Linked DNA regions of Drosophila melanogaster. The protein of the gene in region 1 interacts with the protein of each later gene in a pairwise test. Each region holds a gene or a part of one and is shown on either strand. Other genes may lie near its edges.

Region 1 (5,133 bases):
AAATTCTATGCCTGCTGCTCCTCGTTTCCGTCGGCAGAGGTGTGCCACACATGCCCCATTTCCAGGGCCTGCAACTTGAGCAGTTCCTTTTGGCTGTCCTTGGCCTGAAGGTGGAACACACTTTGCTGGGGGGAGATACAAGTAAATGGAGTACAAAGTTAATGATAGCATATATTAATGCTTTGTTTGGCAATTAATTCAAGGACTCACCTTGACCTCCTTGGTGGTCAGGACATCCATTTTGTCGTAGATGATGGCGTGCAGGCCGAGTTCCTTTAACAGCTTGATGGTATCCTTGGAGTTGTTATCGTCGCCCCAACAAAACAGCACCAATCCACGCTCCTTGGCCAGATTCACCTAAAAGCGTCCGTAGCTGAATGATTCACGATTCGAGAGTGGATCATGTTACCTGACTGGGATCTCGCAGCAGGTCCTCCGTGTGTGCCACAACACCCAGGAACTCCATGGCCACCGCGTGCCACACGGCCAGCTCCATGGAGTTGCCCCTGGGGTCCATATACTTCTGGTATTTCGTCGTCCTGCCGAGAGTTAGGAACATGACAGGGTATCGATTTTGCTTGAATCTCAGAATAGTGCAGATATCTGGATCAAAACAACTCAGTACTATCCTGCGATTCCCTGCCTTTCGTAGGATGACATCCAATATGCAATCGATATAGAGATTTCTGTCCACCACATGCTCGAATTCCTCCTCCATTTTGCCGTCCTCTAGCCTCTGAGACCACTTAATTTCTATGTTGAAACCCACATGGACATCTAGGGCATCCAGGACATCGCATAGCTGCGGAAACGGCTGGTGCTCTAAACAATCATCGTTGTGAAACGAACGCGTCTCCCTGGACAGACCCTCAGCAATGTGATAGACTTTCAATTTCTTCAACTGCTCCAGGGACAACTCCCTCATCGGTAGAGCGAGGAAATCGTGCTCCTGCAGACTGCACTTCGACTTTAGTGAAACATAGATCATGAAATCGTGATACACCACTGGCACCAGATCCTTGCTAAGTTGGACATCGAACTCCACCATGTCGGCACCATGCTCTGCGGCATTCTTCAAAGAAGTAATGGTATTCTCCCGAATAACAGCGTCCTTGGCCTTGAAACTAGTTCCGGAACCACGATGGCCCACATCCAGTCCCGTCCACTTGCTGTTCCAGTATCGGGCATAGCTGACACTCATATCCATTAGAGCACACAGCGATGAGGGCTTCACGATAAGATAACCAAGACGCATCATTCCCAGAGGTCGATGGCCCTTGGCACAGGTTATGGGCAGCTCCAAGTTGCCTTCAGAACGTTTAAAAAGATTGGGCAGCACATAATGATAGCCCAAGTGGTTCGGTGGACCATCTTCCTTGGCCACCCGGGAGCTGTAGCTGTACAAATCAATCAGGTAGGCCGTGTTCTCGAAGTCTCCAACGGTCAGATGGAATATAACCAAATCGGTGGGTCCACAGCCGGTGCCGAACTGCTCTTGACTTCTGATTTCGCACTCGTCGGCACTCAAGGTGACGACCTCGCTAAAGGCAAAGGCTGTGGAGGATTCACCGCCGTTCTCCTTGGTATCATGAGTGTCGTTCGACAAGGAATCCTCCATGGGAGACGAGGGCAGCATGGTATCACAGCCGGCACTGGGAATACTCAGGTTCATGGGCGTCACTTTGACCTGGATATGCCTACGTTTCATGCGCTGCTTAAACGTGAACGGAGCATAAAAGAACTTTAGCTGCACCAGAGTCTCCTTGGTCAGCCAGCCCCGATCCACCTTCTCCTGGCCATTGAACGAGCCAAATATGTCACTCTGATTCTTGGCAGGCTGCTCATCCAACTCCTTGACTATTCGGGGCTGTAAGGAAAGGGAATCTCTTAGCAATGTTATTGGGCTAGCTCCAAACCATGAATCCCATACGAGTGCATACAAATCAAATCCGATCCCAGGTCCAGCTGGATTTTTGGACTCTACTCGTATAGGGTCGGTCAGTACATAATGAATTTGTGAACCTGTAATTGCGTTTCCCAACGGCGGACAATCAGCTGCTCCGTGCCGGGATCGACGGCACAGACCATATAGCGATATTCCGTGTCACAGTGACGCGGAATATAGATCTCTCCTGTCCACAGATTACTATACTCATTGTCCTCCTCATTTTTGGACAAAATAGCCGCTCCCGAGTGCTGCCAGTTGCCCAGCGCCTCGCAATTACCCACTATGGCCAACTGCTCGTTGGGCGCCAGATCCTGGTTCATCAGCACCCGAAAGGTCCACAGTCTGTTGGTGGTAATGTCGCCAAAGATCCGGCGGGACTCCAATCGACTGCCGTTTTCCGAGGACGCAGGACAGGATGATGGCGCAGCCATCGCATCCTCATCGCCGTTATGTGAGGCCAGCCAGTTGTGCATTCTGTGGGGATGGATAATAATTAATATCTATATATAATCCTTAGCTATATACACTTTGAATAATAGTAGTTAGCAGCAAAGAACTAAACTAATTGTTGAAACTCAGTATAATTGTATTGTATTGCATGCGCACAAGTAATTTATGCCAACTCTCTCTTTTTTTCGAGTACTACTGTGCTCGTTAGCGTATACGCACTGTACTTCAATTATTTTCAGCTGCGGTCACAAGTTGTTTATTGTATCGAGCGCAAGTAATTCGAAGATATTAACACAACATTAATTTCACTTGCAGTCCGCAATTGTTTTTGGTTTCCCTTATCAGTGGATGACGTAAATAAATAACTTGTATCACTTACTTTGCGTTGTTGTGTGCTGAAATAGAAGAATAAGCCGAAATCGCTTTGTTTGGATTCGATTTCTCGCTCTCCTCCACTTTCTCTCTCTTTGATTTTCCTAGATTTTCTGTGATTTTCCTACGCGTACACGAAACTATAACAAACGTGTGCAAATTGAGGAGTCGCCCGATTTTTTGATCATAGCAGCTGTTTTTGGTTTTTGCTCACGGATTTCAGCTAACAACACATGATGTTTTTCTCTTTTCGTGGCGGGGGGGCTTAACTCTATAATGTGGATATAACTTTATATTATCTGAACGATTTCAGCGCCGCAGGGGCTTCCGATCCCCTTGAAACTGTGAGTTGCATTATTTTGTTATCTATATATCCACTGACCGATTCTAGCGAGGGATGTGAAAAGTATTTGAATGTCAAGATATCGATAGGTTTTTGATGAAGTAAATATTTTCACAATGCTAAATGCCTAAAGCACTTAAAAATAGTAGATGCCTTTTTAGATATATACTACATACTACTTACTTACACGCACTTAAAATACAAGTTTTATATTTGATATTTGAGCGCATTCTCACAGGTTGGCAACGCGAACAGCTGATTTTTAGGGTGACCGTCTTCCGCAACAGAGTATCTCACAGTTTTCGAAAAGTATCTCAGCAATTTAGGCAAAGTTTCTGAACTTTCAGTTACTACTTAATAAAAAGTTTGTTGGTTGTTTACCTAGCTCAAGAGATTCTTTCAGATTTAATTTAATAAAACCGGTAGCTTAGGATTATAAAATTAACTTTGACTTTATTTAATGTCCCTCCCGCGCGAATGCAGCTTAGTAAAAATGAGTCATAGTGTTCAGATCTGCCTACATTCCAGAAGCTTGCAGTATTCAGTAGACATCAGTCGAGCGCAGAAGCTCTTCGTGATAAGACGTCTTCAATTCAAATTTTTTTTATCGAACACACCATGGAGGGGGACAAGGTAGTTTTTCATAGTTCTGATCTACCATACGAATATTTATACGACGACGAAAAACACGTTTCGCACATGCCGGATTCCAAATTAAGTGTACGAAATATTTTGGATTCAGCTTACGCTTCTGCTGAAGGCAAAATTATAACTAGGAAACTTTCGCGCAGCATTCCGCCGTATCCGCATGCTGTTCGAGTAAAAAATGGCATTCGTGTTTATGAATACAGTGAGCCCAGAAAACAGAGCTACAAATCAAGTTTATGGAAGGAGGCCTACAATGTGAGTAGGAATCGAAGAACACATGCTGGACATTTTACTTGCTTTATTTCAGATACTCCACCAGCGGTTGGATATTGCCGAGCCAATCGCAGCAAAGGAACACGTGAGAACGCAGATACATCCGTGTCTGCACAAGATCAAAGGACTTCTAGATCCGGAAACCTGCATCAAGTGTCCGCGGTGTCATAAGTCCATTTCGTCCACCAAAGTTGTGAAAAGCTTTGCATAGTGACGAATGCAAGCCACCTTCAACATATATATCTATTATAGAGGTTCAATATATGCTCAAATCAACACATGCATTTATATATATATATAATATAAACAAAGAATGCAACAGCCCTACAGATGAATCGTCATTTTCTTCTGTCATTTTGCTAGCTGTAATTAAAAGGGAACGGGAAATGTGCTCTCGCTTACTGATTATAGATAATGACTTTGATTTTGAAATAAGGAATGCAAAGAATACTCATTTTCGTATTCACTTCCATTTTGGCGGACTTTCTTTATCAGTAAACAAAGTGGAAGAAGAAGAAACGAGAAAGGTAAACAAGTCAATACAAAACAGTTGTTTGGAAAATGTGCCATAGTTACCAAGTGCCTGCACCAATTTTAATATCAAAACCAATTATTGAAACTAGTTATATAAGTATTTTTATTTACATTCAATGCATTTATAAATAAAATAAATCAAATAATTTAAGCTTACTAAATCAATCAGCTTGTGACAGCCATCACTTTGATAACGATAGTTGGCAACTCTGCCATCGAACAGCTGTTAATGTTTGCCATTTTGGCGCGAAAATACCAGTGTAACAATTTGTTTATATATAATAGGATTTTATTAAGTTGTTTGTTGGACGCTCGTTTGAAACCAGTATGGATCAGTATCCGGACGAAAACGAGGAGTTCGAGCTGCAATACCAAGACGAACTAGAGCTGCTGGAGGACTTGCCGGACGAGTTTAACGCGTACGATGGACCGAGCACATCCAAACAGGCCGCTGAAAAGCAAAAGGAAAACAGAGCTCCCGTTGCGGCACTAAGAGATAGCACCCGTCTTGGAAACTCTACACTGGGATCGCCACAGCTGTCGCAGATTACCTTTGGAGCTAGCC
Region 2 (6,579 bases), on another chromosome or scaffold:
TAATTTATGCTCTTATGGCATATACACTGCACTCTATTTATGAGCTGATTTAATGCTATTAGAGCATTTATAAGGCACTTTTGTTATGCACTTTTTAATTTCACAATTGCTGATGTATGGCCTCAAGCACGCCTTACCACAATTTATAATGGTACACAAAGCAACCTTTAGCTATAGACTATAAGGTGCTTGTTTTAAAACATAAAAGATTCTTTTGTATCTTTTGCTTTTTATATTTATACTCTGTTCCTTACCTTTGGTAGGGGGAAACAAGAGTTACTTATTTTTGCTACCTTTAGCTGTAAGATGCTTAAAGGAGCTGGCCTTTCTCTGAGTTCCTTACCTTTGGTAGGGGGAAACTGCAGAGTCGATTAAAGGCTCGATTGACCAAATATAAGTCCCAAATAAGAAGACTTTACTCGTTGAGTTTTTGTAAGAAACTGATTTTATTTGGAAATATCTTCGGTTTAAATAGGTGACATGAGAATCGCATCTTAAAGTAAATGGCCTACGCAGAGGCCTAAGTAAATAGTCCCCGCCTTATCGAGGTCCCACGCTCGGGCACATCTGCCTATCTTGAGCGGCGAGGACCTTATCTGTGGTCTCCCACTAAGGGACTATTTTAGGAGGCGGGGAACGATCTCAAGTGACTGACTCATGTAGTGTGCACTTAAATTACATGTTTTTGAGCAATGCACCCATGTCGCCTTAGATAACAAAATCCTAAATATAATTTATCGCTCTCGATTCATTTACATAAGATATGAACGGAGCCCAAAATTGTAAGTCTTTAAATATATTCGTGTTCATGTGTGAACAATGTTCAAAGATGTTTTTCCCACTTGCATCGCCGACTTGTTTTTGAAAAAATTCTGTTGTATAGCAACGTCCCAAGCAGCGAGAGCACAAATGCTAAATGTGGCGAAAAATCAAAACTAGGCAAAGTAAAACATGCTTAGCTCTTTATTTTGACTGTGCTTTTTTGTTAAATTTTTTTATATGCAAATTTTCCTGGGATCTTATATAGGAGTAGCTTCTACAGTTTTTGGACTGTTTAACTGCGGTGCATTGGCTCTGCCCCCATGATTTATAAACTCACGGCGTGCGCGTATTTATCAAACTCTAATTAATCGGTGATAAACCGATCAAGACGCTAAATGCTGCACTACACGAAGCCGCCAAGAAACCGAAGACTTTCTGCAAACCGTCACAGGGGGATCTGCACTTTGCGCCTGAAAACCGGTTTGAAAGACCTCTTTACGAAACTTGGCTTCGATTGCATTTTTATTTCTGGTTTCAGTTTCGTAGTCCACCGATTACCATGTGATTTCCTACACCGCAACCCACCCCACCCCATCAAAATCACCCTCCACATCTCAAGCCCCTTTCGGGAGTACGAGTATTTGTTGAAGCAATTTGCTTTCTTGCATCTTGTGGCTGACCGAGGCGACTGCGATGCAATCAATATATGCTCGTGTCCAGCAAATAATAGACTTCAAACTGGCATTTTAAAAGTTTTTTTTCATAGCCAAAGTCTCGAAGTACGAAGTGCGATTGAGCCTGGAAGGAGTCCGCCAAGCGTTTTGGGTCTACAATTCATTGCTCTTACCGAGGGCAGAACACTTTTCCCCTAAATGCTCACATAGTTAAACTTATGAAAAGTTCGCTTTGTGCTGCACTAACAGGGGCCTCCAACGAGGGCCAGCTCACTATCCCTAAAGACAGCAACAACGAAGATCACTGCTCAGCAGTACAGCTAGAACATCCTGTATATGTCATAGCAATGAACTCTAATCCACTCTAGTAAATCAATTTATTAGCCACGTATGACTTATGCCTTTTTAAATAAACGCTTGCATGCGTTCTCTAGTTTAAGTTTAAGGTTGAGCGATTATAGATTGGCCATCCCTCAAGGGCGGGCTGAGTCTCAAGATACTCTTAAATAGAGGAGGCACAAGATATTTATGTTAACATGGCCTGCGTAGTAATTTGGCATTGTTGAGGTATCACGATTACGATACGACTTTAATTGTAGTAAAATACGAGCAATCGTATATGTGCTTTGCAATAGTGGCTTCGGTGCAAGCCATGATTATCTCTACTTTAAGATATGTGTGCACAAAAAATACAGTTATTTGAAAACGTTTAGCGTCAATAGTAAGAGTGTGAAATGACCTAGGCGAGTAATGCGTGCTCGTATCCGGATGAGAGTTCACTTATGGGTGCGTTTTGGTGACTTCGCAAAGCACTGCAAAAGTTAACAAACGGAGAAATATCAACAACATAGCTATATAAAACCAGTTGCCAAAAAAATGTGGTAAAAAATGCTTAGTTTATCTTGCTTAACTTTTTGTACAGCGTTTGCCTTTTCCGAGTATGCACACAAACGTTGAGGATAAATTGAAAAAGCCATTTTGCTGCCAATTTAGCAAACACTTAAACCAATTTTGCACTTCAATCCACCGACGCACACAAAAAAGGAGTGTCTCATACCTATACAGTTCCTATTCAGCTGAAGCCACACACTTGCACTTCTCGGATCCCAAGCGGATTCATGGAGCTTGCATCGACGCTGGCTTTGACGCTGTAACAAGGACGACCCAAAAGTCAGTTGCTGTGCCCCACAGGGAGGAAAGTGTAGGAAGCTTCCAAAACGTTGCCAACAAAGTGTGAAAATGTCAAGTCGTAAAGTGTCCACTGGCTGAGGGGACGCAGCGAGCGGTAGATGGGTGCAGTCTGTAAAGTGAAATGCCCTGACACCCATATCTGTTCGGGCAGTTTAAGTCAGCTTTGAGAGGAGTATCAACATTTAAAACAGGAGGACAATCGGTTATTATTGTCGCAAAGTTGATTTACAGAGAAACACAGCGTTTTGTAATATTAGAACTAACCCATTTTTACGCTCTACTCGAGAAATTAGTTAGCTTTGTATTAAAAGTCTGGTGCAATTAATGCTTTAGAATACTTTCAAATTTATCGAATAATGTCCTGTATTTGCCAATACCATGATCTCGGGGACATTGCCACCAGAGACCTAGTAGCGTTTCCTTTGCCTGCAAGTGACGACATGAGCGCTTTCAACGAGTAAGTGATAATTTAATTATCTTATCTTTTGTTACCACTGGACTTCTCTTAGGGTGAATAAAGAATCATTGGGGCATAATGCTGCTGAGATTAGATTGTCGGCCTCAAGTCTATCCGACTGCCGTGTAGAGAACTGGCTCCTTAAAAAGAAATTACGCGAATACGAAGTTACAATTGAGAACCTTGAGCAGTTGGTGACTACTATAGTTGAGAAGCAGCATCAAATTTTGAGCGAAATGTTTTCCTTACGCAAACAAAACCGAGAGCTGCAATCCGAGTGTCATCTTCAACGCGAGTATCACTCATTGGAAAGAAATGCCTTGATGAAGGAGCTGCATGACGCTCAAATCGTGTGTAGAAGTCGAAATCTGGATACGGTAAGTACAAACATAAAGAAACTAAGAGTGCATTTCTAAATGGGAAGCGCAGGCATGTCGATCAGATGAACATCAAGGTAGTGTAAGTTTGCCACCTGGGGACACGCTCCTTAAATCTGAATCCTCTTATGGTGATTTCGAAGAGGAAGACATGAGTGAATCGGACGACGGAGATCAGTGCGAAAAATGTTGGGTCGGCAATAATAAAGAGGATTTTGATGCTGGAGAAAATTACGCAGAGCCTTCAGCACTTAGTTCAGGTCAAAATTCTGGTAGGACATCACCGTCCTTATCAAGCTCAGTAACAGGGGACTCGGAATCGGCTGACGACAGATTTCTCAATAACATAAGCATTAATCAGAGCCTTACTAGTGATAGCGATCCGGAATATGCAGACAAATAATTACTACTTGATGCCTTTGAGTTTAAAGGTCTATATATTTTCTTTAATATAAAATTCAAATTATTTATAGACCAAACTTTCTACCGTGACTTTAAGTTGTCTTTCATGGCATTAAATAATCAAAACAAAAACGTGACAATCGCACAAATCAAATCAGCCATAAGTTTGACATAACGTGACGGTATCAGATTGTGTACAGACATGGCACTGCAAAGAAAAAACACGTCAATTGAGAAAAATAAGAGAATACCGACGCCCAAGTATTTGCATATTAAAACGCCAAAGGGCTGCAGAAAACCCGTTGCTAAAGTGCTCTCCTCGCCACCACACAAATATGATTGAATGGTAAGTAAATATATGTTCGCCAAAAGGGGAGTATTTAGATTACTGGCAAAAACGTGTTAAGTGTTTATCTATCGAAAAAGTTCAGGCCAAAACAGCTACCAGCCCTTTTGCAGCTTCTGGCATGACTATACATGGTTTGGGATTGGCCCCACACAAAGTTGTAAGAGAAGCGAGAATGTGTGCTTGTATTATGGGCAATTTATCAAACAGAAAGTTTTCAGCACAAATGAGTCGTGGCAAGGAAGCCGAAGGCCACCCGGGCACCCGTTTGCCAACAGGATTAATGAGTCTCGTGTGCTGCCTGTCCTATCCTACATCCTTGAAACCTGTCTCGCAGCACGTACCAATAATCTATTATGAGCCCTCTTCGAGAGGCAACTTGTGGAAGTTTTCGGGTTCTTTCCAAGATCGCTTGTCTTGGCTACGTTTTATGTGAAGATTTTTGATACTATATATGGGTGATAATATGAGACGTTATGACGTTTATCTCAGACTTGTAAGATGTTAAGCCAGAAACCACAGTTTTTCTGTTAGCATGAACAAAAGAGCATATTGCAATGCAATGTCAAAAACCTTAACTTTTCGTTGCTTGCCCTCAAGGACTTACACAAAAATAATTAATGACGAACGGCCTCGACTCAATGTAAATCGAGTCCGAAACTGTTTGCAATATCATTTATCAATTCAGAATTTTGTTTAGAAACTTGTTGCGCACAAAAAAGCTTTTCATGTACACGTGAGAAGGTACGAGGACTACCGCGGTAAAATGAATGGGATACGAGATGTGAAACCAAACAAGGCATTAAAGAAACACGCAAACATATTGAAATGCAATACCGTCTTGGCACTATAAACGCCTTGCGAATCGCATCATGATAGCTCCTGCATCAGAATCTTCTACGCCCCAAACAAGTAGCTTAAAATTGCGCGTAAGTGAGCATGGGTGCGTTTTTGAACCTTTGGTTCAGGCTACATCAAGACATATGAAACCAAAATGGTGCTAGTTGGTGGACGGTTGACTTTGTGAATATAGTTATTTTGGATAGTTATGTACAAGCGACCAACGCCGTCTTAATATTTTTATATTATGTTGTAGCAGGCTGCCTTGATCCGACGAAAATCGAATTTTCTGGATCAACGCCTACTTACTTACTCAACCGTAAAAATACATAAAACTTTTGCAAAAAAAAAAAAAAAGAAAACAAGGAAAAACCGTACTTGCGTGTTCTAAGCAATTTCAAACCAATAATCGTTGGGTGTCTTTTAAATTAAGTAACCAGAGCCATGCAAGCCAAATATGCCACATTGACATGTCTATCAATGCTGCTATGATGGCTTTGATGGGATGAGGGCAAGGACTTTTTGTTATTTTTTAATTTAACTAATCTAAAATTGGAATCATTTTATACTCAGCCCACAGGAAGTGTGGCATAACAGAAATAAAAGAAACCAATGAGTGATACATTGCGATTAATACAGGAGAGTACTATCCAATAAAGCAAGGCAGACCACATTTCATTTCTATTATACCGCGCTTTTCATATATGTATACATTTTACTTGGTTTAACACAAAAACCTGGCTGACAACTTTCTCAAAAATTTCTGGGTAGAGTTCAAAGGGGGTAAAATTTACTTCATACACCTTAATACATTCACCAGTTCATTTTATAGGGTTTCTCATGCATATTCAGAAAAGTATTTGTTTGAACAAATGTGTGTATGTACATTTGATTTTCTGGAGGCGAACCCCTTTGGCGTAACTCGAAGACCATAATATTGTATTAATGTCAGGATACCATATTGTCCTGCATATTAATGAGTATAGATTTAATAGTCATTTGTATTTATTATTGTATTACCGATTGGTTTTCGTGAATAAACAAAATAGTTTTGTTGCTACAAGAAGCATTAATTACGCACAATGAATAGTCCGGAAGTTACAAGGAAGGAACAATTTCTTTCGCTGAATTCCTTTCACAAACATTACTCCTTACCAAATAGAGTCGATCGTTTTAAGTACCCCGACCGCAGTAGTAAAAATCGAAAATGGAAAGCGTGTTATAAGAGAGAAAATAGAATCATACTTATTTGTGTGCAAAAATCCATTTTCTAAAGTAGAGAAAATAATATGGCACACAAAACAGCAAGGTGAACGATGAGCCGAGGAAAGTGCAACATGTGTTGCAGTCAAAGGATCGGAACGATTACGATCGTTATCACCAAATCAGCGACCTGGTATAATAGCAGATCATGACGGTGCGCGGAGAAGGCTATCCAAGTTAACGAGCGGCAAGCACGAAACAAGCACACATGGCCTCCACATTGGCCTTGCAGCCTCCTGGATGAGCCCAGATGCAGCTGCGTGGAGT
Region 3 (5,910 bases), on another chromosome or scaffold:
TTTTCTGAATGTACGACCTGCGAACAATTAAAATCGATATTTAAATTGGCTTTGATGTACTATTCCACAGTTGTTTAGGCTTGGCTATTCTTCCATAAAAAACAGGAAGGGGTCGAATAATAAGATACCCTTTTAATTAAAGAACTCATCGTTTTAATATGAGTAGCATATATATTTTAAAATATTTAATTTCCATAATTTCTCACTAAAATCTAAACTATTGATGGAACGTGCTGCATCTTATCCACATACTTTATGTGTAAAGCAGCTGCAGGCAGTTGGGACCGCTGCGGCAGCAACCACCCCCGCAGACAGGAACCACTGCATCTCTGGGAATGCGGCGGCAAAGGCTGGGCGGACCGCGGTAGTCTCTTCGGAAGCACAGTCTCTCGCACACTGTCCCGCCAGCGGACACTCGAATGGGGGTGAGACGGCATTGGCCGCTGCCCAGGATTTGCGCATCAGTGGGCATGGGGGCCAGAAGAATCGCCAGCACCACAGTGATGATTAGAAGGCTACGTGAGAGGATCATCTTGCTGCTGACTTCTAGTTGCTATCTGTAACTTGTTGGTGTTTCTGCGGCGTTTTATAGTTGTGAGCAGCGCTCTTAACAAAACAACAACAAAAGCAGAAACAGCGGTAAGGAAGCACATTTACCGAAAAGCGGGTACAATTGTATCTCTTGTTTACTGTGCCAATAACAAAAGATTGCGCATCTGTTTATACCAGCAGATATTCTTAAAGTATAAATCTGCATATGTACATTCATATGCCGAATATTGAGTATCAATATATTTTAAAATATATACCTATATATAGACCAGTAAGCATACTACTTGAGTATCTGTTTAACCAAGAGATCTACACTATTAAACAAGAGAGAATGGTATAACCAAGATTTCGAATATCAGATACGCCGCTCATCTAGAGGGATTGCTAGAGAGGAATTCCAAATTTTGTTTAGATATGGATAGAAATTGTAAAGGAAATAAGATAAGTTATATCAAAAGATTTTTTCAAAACGTTGGTTATACACGGCTGGTAATCCTAATTAAAAATATACTTTGTAAAGCGGAAATCGCTTCCCTCTACCTGTTACATTCTTTGCAAGAAAACTTAAGTTTTCCTCTACGAATATCGATTATAATCAATTTTATACAGACTTACCGTGTTGACGTCTTGTGTAGGGAGTAAACTGCTCTGTTGGCCAACCGTAGGGCCACCTCCAGAAACCGCATGTCCATGCCGGCATTGTGTTTCGTGCCGAATGGGGGATTCATCAGCACCGTGTCAAAGGACTTCTCCCACTTGCTGCCGATCAGCTGCAGCACATCCGCCCGCACGCAGTCAACATTGGGTAGCTCCATCTCCACCACATTGCCCCTAAAGGTGTCCACGGCATCGCCGTCCAGTTCGAAGCCCACCGTGAGCTGGGCGCCCAGCAGAGTGGAAGCAATGCTGAGCATTCCGCAGCCGCAGCCCAAATCTCCCACCAGCTTTCCCTCGATGTCCTCGTGCTGCGACTGCATGTGATGAGCCATGCACGCGGCTATGTGCGGCGGAGTGGGGTACTGTTCCAACAGGATCTTGGGCTGCTCGAAACCGTCAACGCCCTGCAGGTACTCCTCCAGTTTCCTCAGCTTCAACCGGGCCATTGTGGATCCGGCTATTTGCTGATACTGTGGCTGGGCGGAGCGTTCGGAGTAGTGGGCGTGGTCGCAGGCGACGGCAGCGGCTCCAGACGAGGCAGCACGGGTATAAAGCTATTTCCAAAATACGAATCCTGAGGTATAAAGAAGCCCAAAGTCGTAGAGCTCGTTGGATTAAATGCAGAGCGGGCGGTGGATGTGGCATTGGTGGCAATGCCCACGCCCGCCTGGAAGTCTGGATTCACTGTCGTCGGCTGTCCCAGCAACTGGGGTGCGGGCATCTACGATAGAAGACCAGGTAAACACATTTTCCGATCGGCATGTTCCCAACGAACTCACCTGGTTCGGCGGACTCAGACCAAGGTTTATGATCCCGCCCGCGAGCAACTGCTTCTTCGTCTGGATCTCTTCGAGTATCTTGCGGTTCGTCTCGGCTTGCTGGGCACTTGTGGTGGGAAAAGCCATCAAATAAACTAGTAAAAGTCTGAACTATATCAAAAACTTCTTGTAGACTGCTGCTCCTGCCGCTGCCTTTGGCATTTTGCGAGCAGTGTGGTCACACTGGCGAGTACTGTAGTGTGGCGGAAATAGTAGCGGTATTCGAACTGAACCAAATGTGCGAATAAACAAAAAATCTGCAACAAACAAGAGTGTTAAGCGAATATTGAATTTGTGCTTAATATATATATAATTTGTATTTAATACAAATCAAATATTAATAATATTGGTGACCTTTTGGTGCCACTTAAGTTTGAAGTATTATTAGCATTCCTCTATTTGGTCACTCTGCAAGTCTTACAACGTGAGCAGACAACAACAAAATTACATGTTTATTTGGAATAATCACAAAAAACAAAAAACTTACCAACTTAGTGGAATAATCTTAGGAAATATCTATTAATTTGCGCGCAATCCGTGCAAAACAAGTGAAGCAACATGAGTATGAGCGACGACGACCGCGACATAGACATCGAAAGTGACGTAAGCAAGGCGTAGAGGAAAATACTGATACGTGTGTTTAATATTGATTTTAATGCCAAATTAACGACTTTTTAGGAGGACGGGGACTCGGACACTGGCTTGGGATCCTCGCGACACACAAACACCGCCAATTTCACCCAGGTGACTATCCATCATGCATAAACTGAGTGGGAAAAAGCGACTGCGCACATTGCCTTTTGTTGATAAACAGAACGCACACGTGTTGTTGTTGCTGTTACAGAATCGTGATTACGATACAGCAGAGTTCACAGCAATAGGATTCGTAATCGAAAATAATCTTAGAGGGACTGAATATATTATATATTACTATTTACTAACTTATCTTTCTGTTCATATTGCTTTGAGACCATTTTGTTCCATTTTTGTTATTATTTCCATACTCTGCTGTATTTACGATGGAATTTCCTATATGCTAATTTTAATGTTTGTTTCAAGGCCGAAAAGCGGGCGCACCACAACGCTTTGGAGCGAAGGCGGCGCGATCACATCAAGGAGAGCTTCACCAACCTGCGTGAGGCGGTGCCCACACTCAAGGGCGAAAAGGTAATCCAGAAGAGCAACAGGTGACACAGCCGGGCTCATTTTCTGCCAAGAAAATCCCATAAGTCCATACCAGTTCGTTTTACAATAAACTACATTATTGCTTGTCAAATTAAGCAAATCGCATAAAATATATTAAAAAAATCCACACCCTGTGTGATGAAGCTAATAAGAAGTAGTAATAAGTTAATAATACATATCTTTTGTTACAGGCGAGTCGAGCTCAAATCCTGAAAAAGACCACCGAATGCATACAGACGATGAGGCGGAAGATCAGTGAAAACCAGAAAGACATCGAAGAGATCAAGAGGCAAAACAACATAATAGCTAAGCAGAGTGAGCAACTAACTACTACAGGTTATTAATGAACTTCCTGCTAAGATACTTTATATACTTTCCAGTACAAGCACTGGAGAGTTCAAATGGGGATCAGTTCAGCGAATTTCTCAGCGACGAGGAAGTGGGCAGCGAGGAGGCCGACGACGAAGACCTCGACCAGGACTTCAGTAGACGCAATAAAAAGATGAAGACCTTCCACGCATAGCCGCTGATCCAATCCAAAGTGCTGCTTACAGGCGTGTTCCGGCTTCCGTTTTCACCGACATTCTGAATTCTTACGTGGATTTAGTTCAACTTTGAGTTGTGTTATACGAAAGCAATAGCCCTCGAAAAGTTGTGAAGGAAACGGTTCCAAATTCGAATTAAAGTGAAAATTAAAATTATGTGGAAATGAGAACAGTAACAAGTCCGATAATCATAATCATCATTAGCTGTAAGCCCAAAATGTAACCCACCCAATCGACCTTAATTTGTATGCGTGCGTCTTTTCTACTTTCAACAAATTGTCACTCTGTGCGCAAAGAATAAAGTAAACTAGTAAGTACATATTTTTAGAAAAAAACAGGGGCTTCTTGTTGATGAATTCTATTATGGAAATTGGAAAATATAACGGACCAATTGAGTAACATGAGTGCTGCTTTTGAAGAAGTTTATAAATGATAAAAGGATTGACATTTTATGCGATTAGGGCTAAATAAAATCAGCAATTTTTGCAAGTAATTTGATCACTTGATACTGGAACCTTCCCTTATTTATATCTGGAATCTCCTTTTGCTTATTACTCGAGAACTATAAAGAACGAGCTGAAAAAACTTTAACGTACGTATCTGTCTTTCTAATATTGGTTTGAACTTAAGAAATATATTTAACTTTATGGTTTTAAGCCAAAAGTGAACCGCATTCCGAACCAAATACAACCTTCGACTACACTAAACCATACAAATATGTGGGTATATATTTTATAAAATTACCAACAACTACTTAAACTTTAGGGTTATCCAGAGGATTAAGAACACGACGAGGATGAAGAGGAACATGTAGCACATTTGGCGAGCACCACCGCCCTGTTTGGCCAGTCGCACCACCCGCGTCATCGCGTTGCCCAGAAATCCACTCGTCCGGTCCATGTCGTCGTCGATGCCGCGCAGCAGCTTGTCCTGGTAGCGCACCTCATTGCCTATATCGATGGTGAGGGACTTCAGGGCCCCGATCTTCTGCTTCAACTCCTCCGCCGCCTGCTCGTTTTCCGCCTCCAAGGCGTCGTGGCTCGCAGGATGGGGCCCTGAAGGGTGCTGGTTTAGGGGCTGGTACGGGTAGTTGTTGCGGCGCATACTGCTCCCCGAGTGTGCCAGTTTGGCATCCGGATTGCTGCGGATCGGGTGAATTTAACGAAATTAATTAATTATAAATTAATACAATGCTCACAAATCTCAGTTTTCGAAGTGACACGTAAACGTAAACATGTAATCTCACCCAGCGGCAGAACAGCTGTTGGGATATACGCTTCTTGGCTCAACCTTTGTGGTTGACTGTGCATTGACCCTTGACCTCGTGTTGTGATTTCCAGAATCGGTTGACTAATGCCTCTACTTATTAAACGAAACTTTTTAAATTCTCATGCAATTCAATTTTTAGTCGCCGAGCAGTGTGACCAAAGCGGAGTAGCAAAATTATTCCGTAGCAATGCGTGTGGCAGAGATTACGATTTTCAATTAACCCATTGCTTGCCAATACGCTTTTAATATCGTAAGTTCTTTCTATAAGTTTCCAAAACTTACTATATATATATATATATATTGTTTTAAGATTTCATAAAAATTTGATTAGGGAAATCGGGACAGACAACGAGACAGTCGGCGGTCGGCAAAAATTCACCTCCAAATAACTAAAAAATAAATAAATAAAAATCGTCCCCATGTTCAAAATTCCACAGTTTCACCATCGCCGCTAAAAAAAAATTTGTATTATATTTAGGTGTTCATTAAAATATGGTACGTACAGTTATTATTACACATATTATGTGTAAGAATTATTAGTTTATTATATATAATGCAAAAACAATATTAGTTTAATATTAATTAAATAGTAATTAGGCAATTCAAACATTATTTGTAATTATTTCAAATAAAATAAATAAAATATATTCATAAAAATATGGGACATATGTAAAATATGTCAAAGAATTATTTAATAACAATGCATAAAATACTGTTATTAGCAGTTCGTTTTAATATGCAAACAAATTTAATCAAATATAAATAAAGCATGTTTTTAGTAGATAGTAAAAACATATATGGTTATATGTGGATCCTAAGTACTACTTTTAAATGTTAGAAACAGTGGGTTAATCCGTGTGCCTATTACTGTTAGAGTCGGGTAA
Region 4 (6,300 bases), on another chromosome or scaffold:
ATGTTTCCAATATTATTGAAGCCACGCCCACAGCCTGGACAGATGTGCTGGCCTTCCTTCTTGGTGAAGTTCACTTGCGGCGACCACGAGGGCACGGATACGGATGGTATTGGATTTACCGCAGTACCCGCCAGCTGAGAAATGTCCACCCGCTGGACGCGTCGCGAGTTCTTCGGTTTGGGAGGCACTGCAGCGGTCCCGCCGCCGCATGCCTTCAGCATGTCCTCACTAGGCATCTGGTTGGGGTCCATTGGCACCAAACCATCCGTCTGCATCTGCATCGGCATCTGGCCCGGCATCGGTACGGACATTTGGCCGGGCATGGGAATGTTAAGCTGCTGGCGAAGGGGCTCCGCCGGCGGCAGATCCCTTTTCTCGTGCGTCTTCAAATGCTTGGTGAGGCTCTTCTCGCAGAGGAATATCTTGCCGCAGATCTTGCACTCGCAGCACTTCTCCCCCGTGTGACTCCTCTCGTGCACCTTGCAGGCGTGCGACTTGCCGAAGGTCTTTCCGCAGTACTGGCAGGCAAAGTCCTTGCGCTTTTCGTGCACCACCTTTACATGATTGGACAACGCCTGTTTGTTGTGCGAGGCATGGTCGCACTGTCGGCACTTGAACTTTTTCTCCTTGGTGTGCGTGAGGATGTGGGCGTTCCATTCCTGGCGCGTCGTCTTGCCCACCCCGCAGTACGGACACACATGGTTCTTGATGCCTGCGTGACGCATAAGGTGATCCCTTAAAGCACTATTGATTACAAAACGCTTGCCGCAGATATTGCAAGGATACGGAAGCTCCTCGCCCGTGTGCTTATACATGTGCTTCTTGAGTGCTGTGGGGCAGCGGAATACGGTGTCGCATTCTGTGCAGGGGAAATCTCGAAGCGGGGCAGCCGCCTTGGTGATACCGTGCACCTTCTTCATGTGGAAGGTGAGCAGACGGACGCGCGGGAAGGTCTTGCCGCAGCCCTCGGCGATGCAGGCGTGAACCTCGGACAGCTCTGTGTGGGCGTGGTCGATGTGAATGCGCAGCCCATTGGCGGTAGTGAAACCTGTAAGGTGGGATTTCATAGAGATCGGATACTTATATTTATACTTAAGCCAGCGTTATACCTTTCTTGCAGGTCTCCACCTTGCATTGGAAGGGCAGCAGGTCGTTGTGGTACTTCATGTGCTCCTCGTAGCGGATGGCCTTCTTGAACTTCTGGTGGCAAATGTGGCAGTCGATGATGCGGTGCAGGTGGCGTTCCTCGATGGGAATGCGCTTCCTCTTCGGCTTGTCGCCCCGCGATGTGCCGTCTTCGGAGTCATCTGATTCGGAGGATGAGTCGCTCAACTCCTCCTCCTCTGGCGGAGGCGGTTTTATCTTTTTGGGCCGTCCCCGGGGCCTCGGCTTGGGTTTGTCTAGGTTGCTAAAACGGTCCTGCTGGGGTCCTGATCCGGTAGCTGGTCCCCTCATGCGCTGGGCCAGCGGAATGTCATCATCGCTGCTATTTGGCTCGAAGTCCAGATCGTGGTCGTTGTCATTGCCGCTCTCGATGGACGAATCGTCGTCGAACATCTTGACGGAAACGTTGCCCCCGTCATCCTCCTCCACCTTGGCCTCCTTCTCCACCTCCTCGGCCTCCTTGTCGACGTGCTCCAGCATCTTGAAGACATCCTCCTCGTTCTCGATTAGCTCCATCTTGTGGTTCAGCAGCGGGTCATAGTTGACGTGGTCCTCTTCCTCGGCCGGGTAGTCCTGCACGGCAACGTTGGGATCGAAGACGTCGAAGCTGCTCTGGCAGGCAAAGACATTGCTGGCCACCAGATCCTGGAACTTTTGCACGGAATCGACGCACTGTTTCTGAAAGTCGTGCAGCTCGTTCAGCTTGGTGTAGCACAGGGTGCACAGGTTCTTCGGGAATCCGTCGTTTTGCTCCACGGACAGGGATGTGCAGAAGCATAGCTTCTTCGAAAGTCCTGGAACCAGATACAAATCGTAGGCGGCGTCGTTCTGCAGGTGGTTCAGACAGATCCTGCACAGGCTGTGGATCGAGTACTGCCTGCCCTCGTTCATCTTGCTTTCAATCGCAATCGGCACTGCGGATCGGGGCGGTTTTCTATAGCTTTTTGCGTCTCTCTCCGGTCAGTAAGCAATAAAATAATATTGACACAGAAAAAATTGTATACTCGTCGACTGGCAATCGGGCGAGTGGGCAATAAGCAAGTACTTCTGCCAGCGAGTTACTCGTCCGAGTGCGTAGTTGTTTTGCGTTTCAGGGCTGGACAATCAATGTTTTTTCTTACCTTCTTATTTGCAATTCTAATTAGGTTGCAATATACAAAAAAAAAAAATATATATATATACAACTAATTTAATTAAATAGATATTGCTTGTATACTTCAAATAGTATTTCAGGGTTTTTTAAAAATATTTTGCAAACTGAGCACCATAGTAACAAAAACGAAACTGAACTTACAATATATAGATAATGGTATGTATATATAGAAAAAATATAAAACAAATTTTTTTGTATTAGTATGTATATATAAACATGTAAAACAAATTGCTTTTAATAATAAGCAACGACATTTGAAAATATACAAACTGGGCATCAAGAAAATTTGATACGAAAATGAACGTACAAGATTTCTGTATCGAAATAAAGTCAAAAATAAATAATAAATAAATGTATTTTAACTAGACGCATGCATGGTCTTGCTAAAAAGCACTTACATTAAAACAAGTTAATATAAAAATAAGAATCCAAGTATGCTGTTTACTTGCCACCCCACTACACCGTAATGGGTTAATGGCATAGCGAAACGGTCAGACTGCCTGTCACACTGGAACAAATTTGTTTAGAAGCTTCGATTGTTATCTGCCCGAGAATTGAGGGAAATGGGCACTATGGAGCTCAAGTACTCCGTCCAATCGCTTTGTCTCACCTGCCTTGTCCACCTGAAGCATGGTGCTGGACACGATCTCTTCGTGGTTCCAGATCTGTTCCAGAAGCTCAGGGCGTGCACTTCGTTTGATGCGGATCAAAACGACGGTTTCCCGAGAAACCTGTGCACCCAATGTTTCACCAAGCTGAACGACCTGCATGACTTCCGCGAACTGTGCGCAGAATCTATTAAACGTCTAAAGGAAATGATGACCAGCCAGAGGAATATGCCCATGGGTGTATTCGAATCTATAGCTGATGATTCTGAGGCACCTGAAAGGCCAGAGGAGCCGGCCAGTTTCGATCCGCTGCTGAATAACAAACTAGAGATGATTGACAACGAGGAGGATGTGTTCAAGTTGCTGGAAAAAGTTGACAAGGAACTAGAGGAGCATTCAAGGGACCAAAGCGAGGAGCACTTCTCCAGTGCAGAGCACAACGGACTGGAGGAGGAGAAAAAGGAGTCGGAAGGGTTCAACAGCGACGATGAGCAGGCCATGGGGCAGCGACGGATTGCGAACGACAAGCGTAAACTGTTTCGCCTTATGAGCTGTTCCATCTGCCAGCAAAAGTTCAAAAAGCAATCAAAGTTCGAGGAGCACATGAAGCACCACAATGACCTGTTGCCGTTTCAGTGTCAGGAGGAAAGCTGCCGAAAGGGCTTCACCACAGCCGGTGCACTGCGTTTGCACGTGGACTATGCGCACTCCAAGAAGGAGGATACGGTTCCCTGCACCGTGGAGGGCTGTCAATTGGTTTTTTCCCGTCTCCGGCTGCTGACCATTCACTTGAAAAAGGTTCACAACCAGGCGAGGGTTATTGCTCCGCGGGGTGAACAGTCTTGCAAGGAATGCGGCGTGGTGTTTCGTTGCCCGGTGGCTATGAAGAAGCACATGTACACGCACACGGGCGAAGAGCTTCCCTATCCGTGTACCATTTGCGGCAAGGGCTTTTACATCAATAGTGCCCTAAAGAATCATCTTCTCCGGCATGCTGGCATCAAGAACTACGTGTGTCAGTACTGCGGAGTGCGAAAGACCACCCGCCAGGAATGGAGTAAGCACATTCTGATCCACACCCAACGGAACCAGTTTAAGTGCCGCATCTGCGACTATGCCACCCACACGAAGCGGGTGCTAGAGAGCCATGTTAAGATCGTACATGAGAAAATCCGGAATTTTGCTTGCCAGTACTGTGGAAAGACGTTCGGGAAAGCATACGCCTGCAAAATACACGAGATGGCGCACACTGGTGAGAAGCGCTGCGAATGCAAGGTAAGGGAATTACCATTATACCCTTGTTACCAAAGTCTGATATATTTTCGCCTTGCAGGTTTGTGACAAAAAGTTCCTGCATTCGGAGAGTCTCAACAATCATCTGAAGATTCATGAGAAGAGCGTGGAAAGGGCTCTGGAAACTTATAAACAGGTGCAAGTAAATGGCGATGCCAGTGACACTCAAGTGGACTCACATCAGCTGCTGAAGGTTTACGCCGAATCCGTAGCCAGCATTCCTAAGAATCCCCGCCGCGTAGAGCAAGTTGATGTGGCCCTATTGGCAGGGACCGCAGTGAATCCCACAGACGAGATTCAGTTTGTGCAAAAGGAGGGTATGTACTTGTGTCCCAGCTGCAGTCAGGGATTCAAGAGCATAGGCAACATGAAGCGCCACTACAAGAGCGTCCACGAAAAAGTCAAGGACTTTGAGTGCCGTTTCTGCTCCCGTCGCTTTGCCAACTCGCAATCCGTGAAGCAACACGAGTGGATACACACTGGCGAAAAGCCCTTCGAGTGTAAGACGTGTGGCAATCGCTTTCGCCAGGTAGCGGCGCTCATCCGACACCAAAAAGTCCATGACGAAAAGCCGGCGAAGCCTCTGGGGGAGAGAAATGACCGTAAACAAAAGGTTGAGGCACTACGGCAGGAAATTGCGAAGGTCGCCAAGAAGGAGCTCAAGGATTTGAAGAACCAACTGGCACTGGAGAAGCAGCAAGACACATACGAAAAGTAATAGGCAGCGGCAGCTAGCCAAACTGGTCCTGACCTTAAGGAGGAACCCTAATCGCAGAATAGTTTACGATTACATAGGGCAAAAGACTTCCCATAATAGTGGGAATTTTTATTGTTGGTTAATATTTAACTATTACTTGTTATCCTATTTCTAAGTTGTTAAATAAACTTGACCCAAATGACACACTTTAGAATAACTACAAATGGTTTTGGACTAAAACTAGTTTTAAAAAAAATTGGTCATAAATCGAAACAAACGATTCTAGTTTTTCAATTTTTTTTTATTTTTACTTTCACTTGCTTGTTATTTTGATGAGAGAGTGTCTTAATGTCGTCAAATGATTGCAAACAGTCGGAACCGGGCGCAAATGTCTGCGTTCCGCGATATCCGGCCGTTTATATGATAGATGGAGTGATGGATGGATGATAATGATTAGATTCAAATGATACAAAATGCGATCAAAAAAATCTACAAGTAGATAGCAAAAATTTGGTATACACATAAGCAGAGCAAGAAGTTCCCTAAACAATGGAAAATGGTCGATGGAAGTGGGGGCGTCATCTGGTGGGGCCCAATGTCTGGCTATGCCCCATCACCGCCTGCCGCACCAAGTGTGGGTTCTAAGGAGCTTCAGGCGTCTTCAGATTGTACTTGGCCTTAATGTTGTTCAGTTCCTCCTGTTTCTTGTCCATGTCCACGCGCTTGAAGGCCTTGTTGGATTGGTAGTAGAGCACCACCAGATAGCGATTGCACACATTAAAACCCGATAAATGGTCACAGGCGTTCTTGGCATCGAAAATGTCCTCGTAGACGACAAAGGCGGTGCCACGCGTTTCCGGAGTGTTGCCTCTGCAAAAGATACACAAATTGATTGAGAGGATTCACGGCGAATAGCATTATCATCTTCAATCTTACACGCGTATCTGTCGAATGGCTCCAAATTTGCCGAATATGTCGTACATCTCGTCCGAGGTGATTTTGTACGGCAGGTTCCGCACGTACAATAGCCGATTCACCTCTGGCGGCAGGCGGATCTGCAAAAGAAATAGCACTTTTCACTCAATACATTTGCTTTGTGTGTGGAGCCGTAGGTTTTCTGCTCACATGGTTGCGCTTGTTCATGTCCGGTCGCTTCGGATGTTAAGCGGCGACAAGGCGAGAAACTTTCACTCGGCCTCGAGGAAAGTGTGTGGCGGCTTTGTCTGACCCGGGATGAATGTCCTGAAGCGTGGTCCTTTGTTTAAAATTAATGACTCCTCTGTCTGGCCTCAAACCCAAACAAAATTGAACAGGGTGGCGAATGTGGGCACTCTAAATGGCGAGAGTGTGGACGCATTTCGAGAGCCGTATCGAGTGTGACCGTG

The links.
Region 2: the proteins of CG31955 (region 1) and lov interact in a two-hybrid assay, tested with the Drosophila melanogaster proteins (one large-scale study listed by BioGRID).
Region 3: the proteins of CG31955 (region 1) and Max interact in a two-hybrid assay, tested with the Drosophila melanogaster proteins (one large-scale study listed by BioGRID).
Region 4: the proteins of CG31955 (region 1) and CG7386 interact in a two-hybrid assay, tested with the Drosophila melanogaster proteins (one large-scale study listed by BioGRID).

Annotation. Positions count from the first base shown.
Region 1 is NT_033779.5:3,711,381-3,716,513, reverse strand, and holds CG31955 (uncharacterized protein), read left to right. Parts: upstream 1-3,647; 5' UTR 3,648-3,731; coding exon 3,732-4,016; intron 4,017-4,068; coding exon 4,069-4,245; 3' UTR 4,246-4,288; exon of another isoform or gene 4,289-4,360; intron 4,361-4,445; 3' UTR 4,446-4,633; downstream 4,634-5,133. Other genes in the region: CG2818 (uncharacterized protein), read right to left, coding at 6-125, 211-357, 410-1,867, 2,023-2,421; cutlet, read left to right, coding at 4,896-5,133.
Region 2 is NT_033778.4:25,135,946-25,142,524, reverse strand, and holds the start of lov (jim lovell), read left to right. Parts: upstream 1-2,897; 5' UTR 2,898-2,983; coding exon of another isoform or gene 2,984-3,084; intron 3,085-3,136; coding exon of another isoform or gene 3,137-3,461; intron 3,462-3,513; coding exon of another isoform or gene 3,514-3,864; exon of another isoform or gene 3,865-3,898; intron 3,899-6,579. Other genes in the region: CG43106 (uncharacterized protein), read left to right, coding at 2,984-3,084, 3,137-3,461, 3,514-3,864. UniProt on the Drosophila melanogaster protein: Has a regulatory role during midline cell development.
Region 3 is NT_037436.4:19,260,701-19,266,610, reverse strand, and holds Max (Max), read left to right. Parts: upstream 1-2,426; 5' UTR 2,427-2,585; coding exon 2,586-2,630; exon of another isoform or gene 2,631-2,705; coding exon 2,706-2,771; exon of another isoform or gene 2,772-2,845; intron 2,846-3,086; coding exon 3,087-3,194; intron 3,195-3,403; coding exon 3,404-3,527; intron 3,528-3,592; coding exon 3,593-3,735; 3' UTR 3,736-4,379; downstream 4,380-5,910. Other genes in the region: CG45081 (uncharacterized protein), read right to left, coding at 254-532; Mettl5 (methyltransferase like 5), read right to left, coding at 1-17, 1,168-1,655; CG42374 (uncharacterized protein), read right to left, coding at 1,667-1,930, 1,989-2,114; Bet1 (blocked early in transport 1), read right to left, coding at 4,508-4,861. UniProt on the Drosophila melanogaster protein: Transcription regulator. Forms a sequence-specific DNA-binding protein complex with MYC or MAD which recognizes the core sequence 5'-CAC[GA]TG-3'. The MYC-MAX complex is a transcriptional activator, whereas the MAD-MAX complex is a repressor.
Region 4 is NT_037436.4:6,186,925-6,193,224, forward strand, and holds CG7386 (uncharacterized protein), read left to right. Parts: upstream 1-2,820; 5' UTR 2,821-2,889; coding exon 2,890-4,200; intron 4,201-4,258; coding exon 4,259-4,936; 3' UTR 4,937-5,125; downstream 5,126-6,300. Other genes in the region: D19A, read right to left, coding at 1-1,048, 1,110-2,055; Sf3b6 (splicing factor 3b subunit 6), read right to left, coding at 5,557-5,785, 5,852-5,970, 6,041-6,058.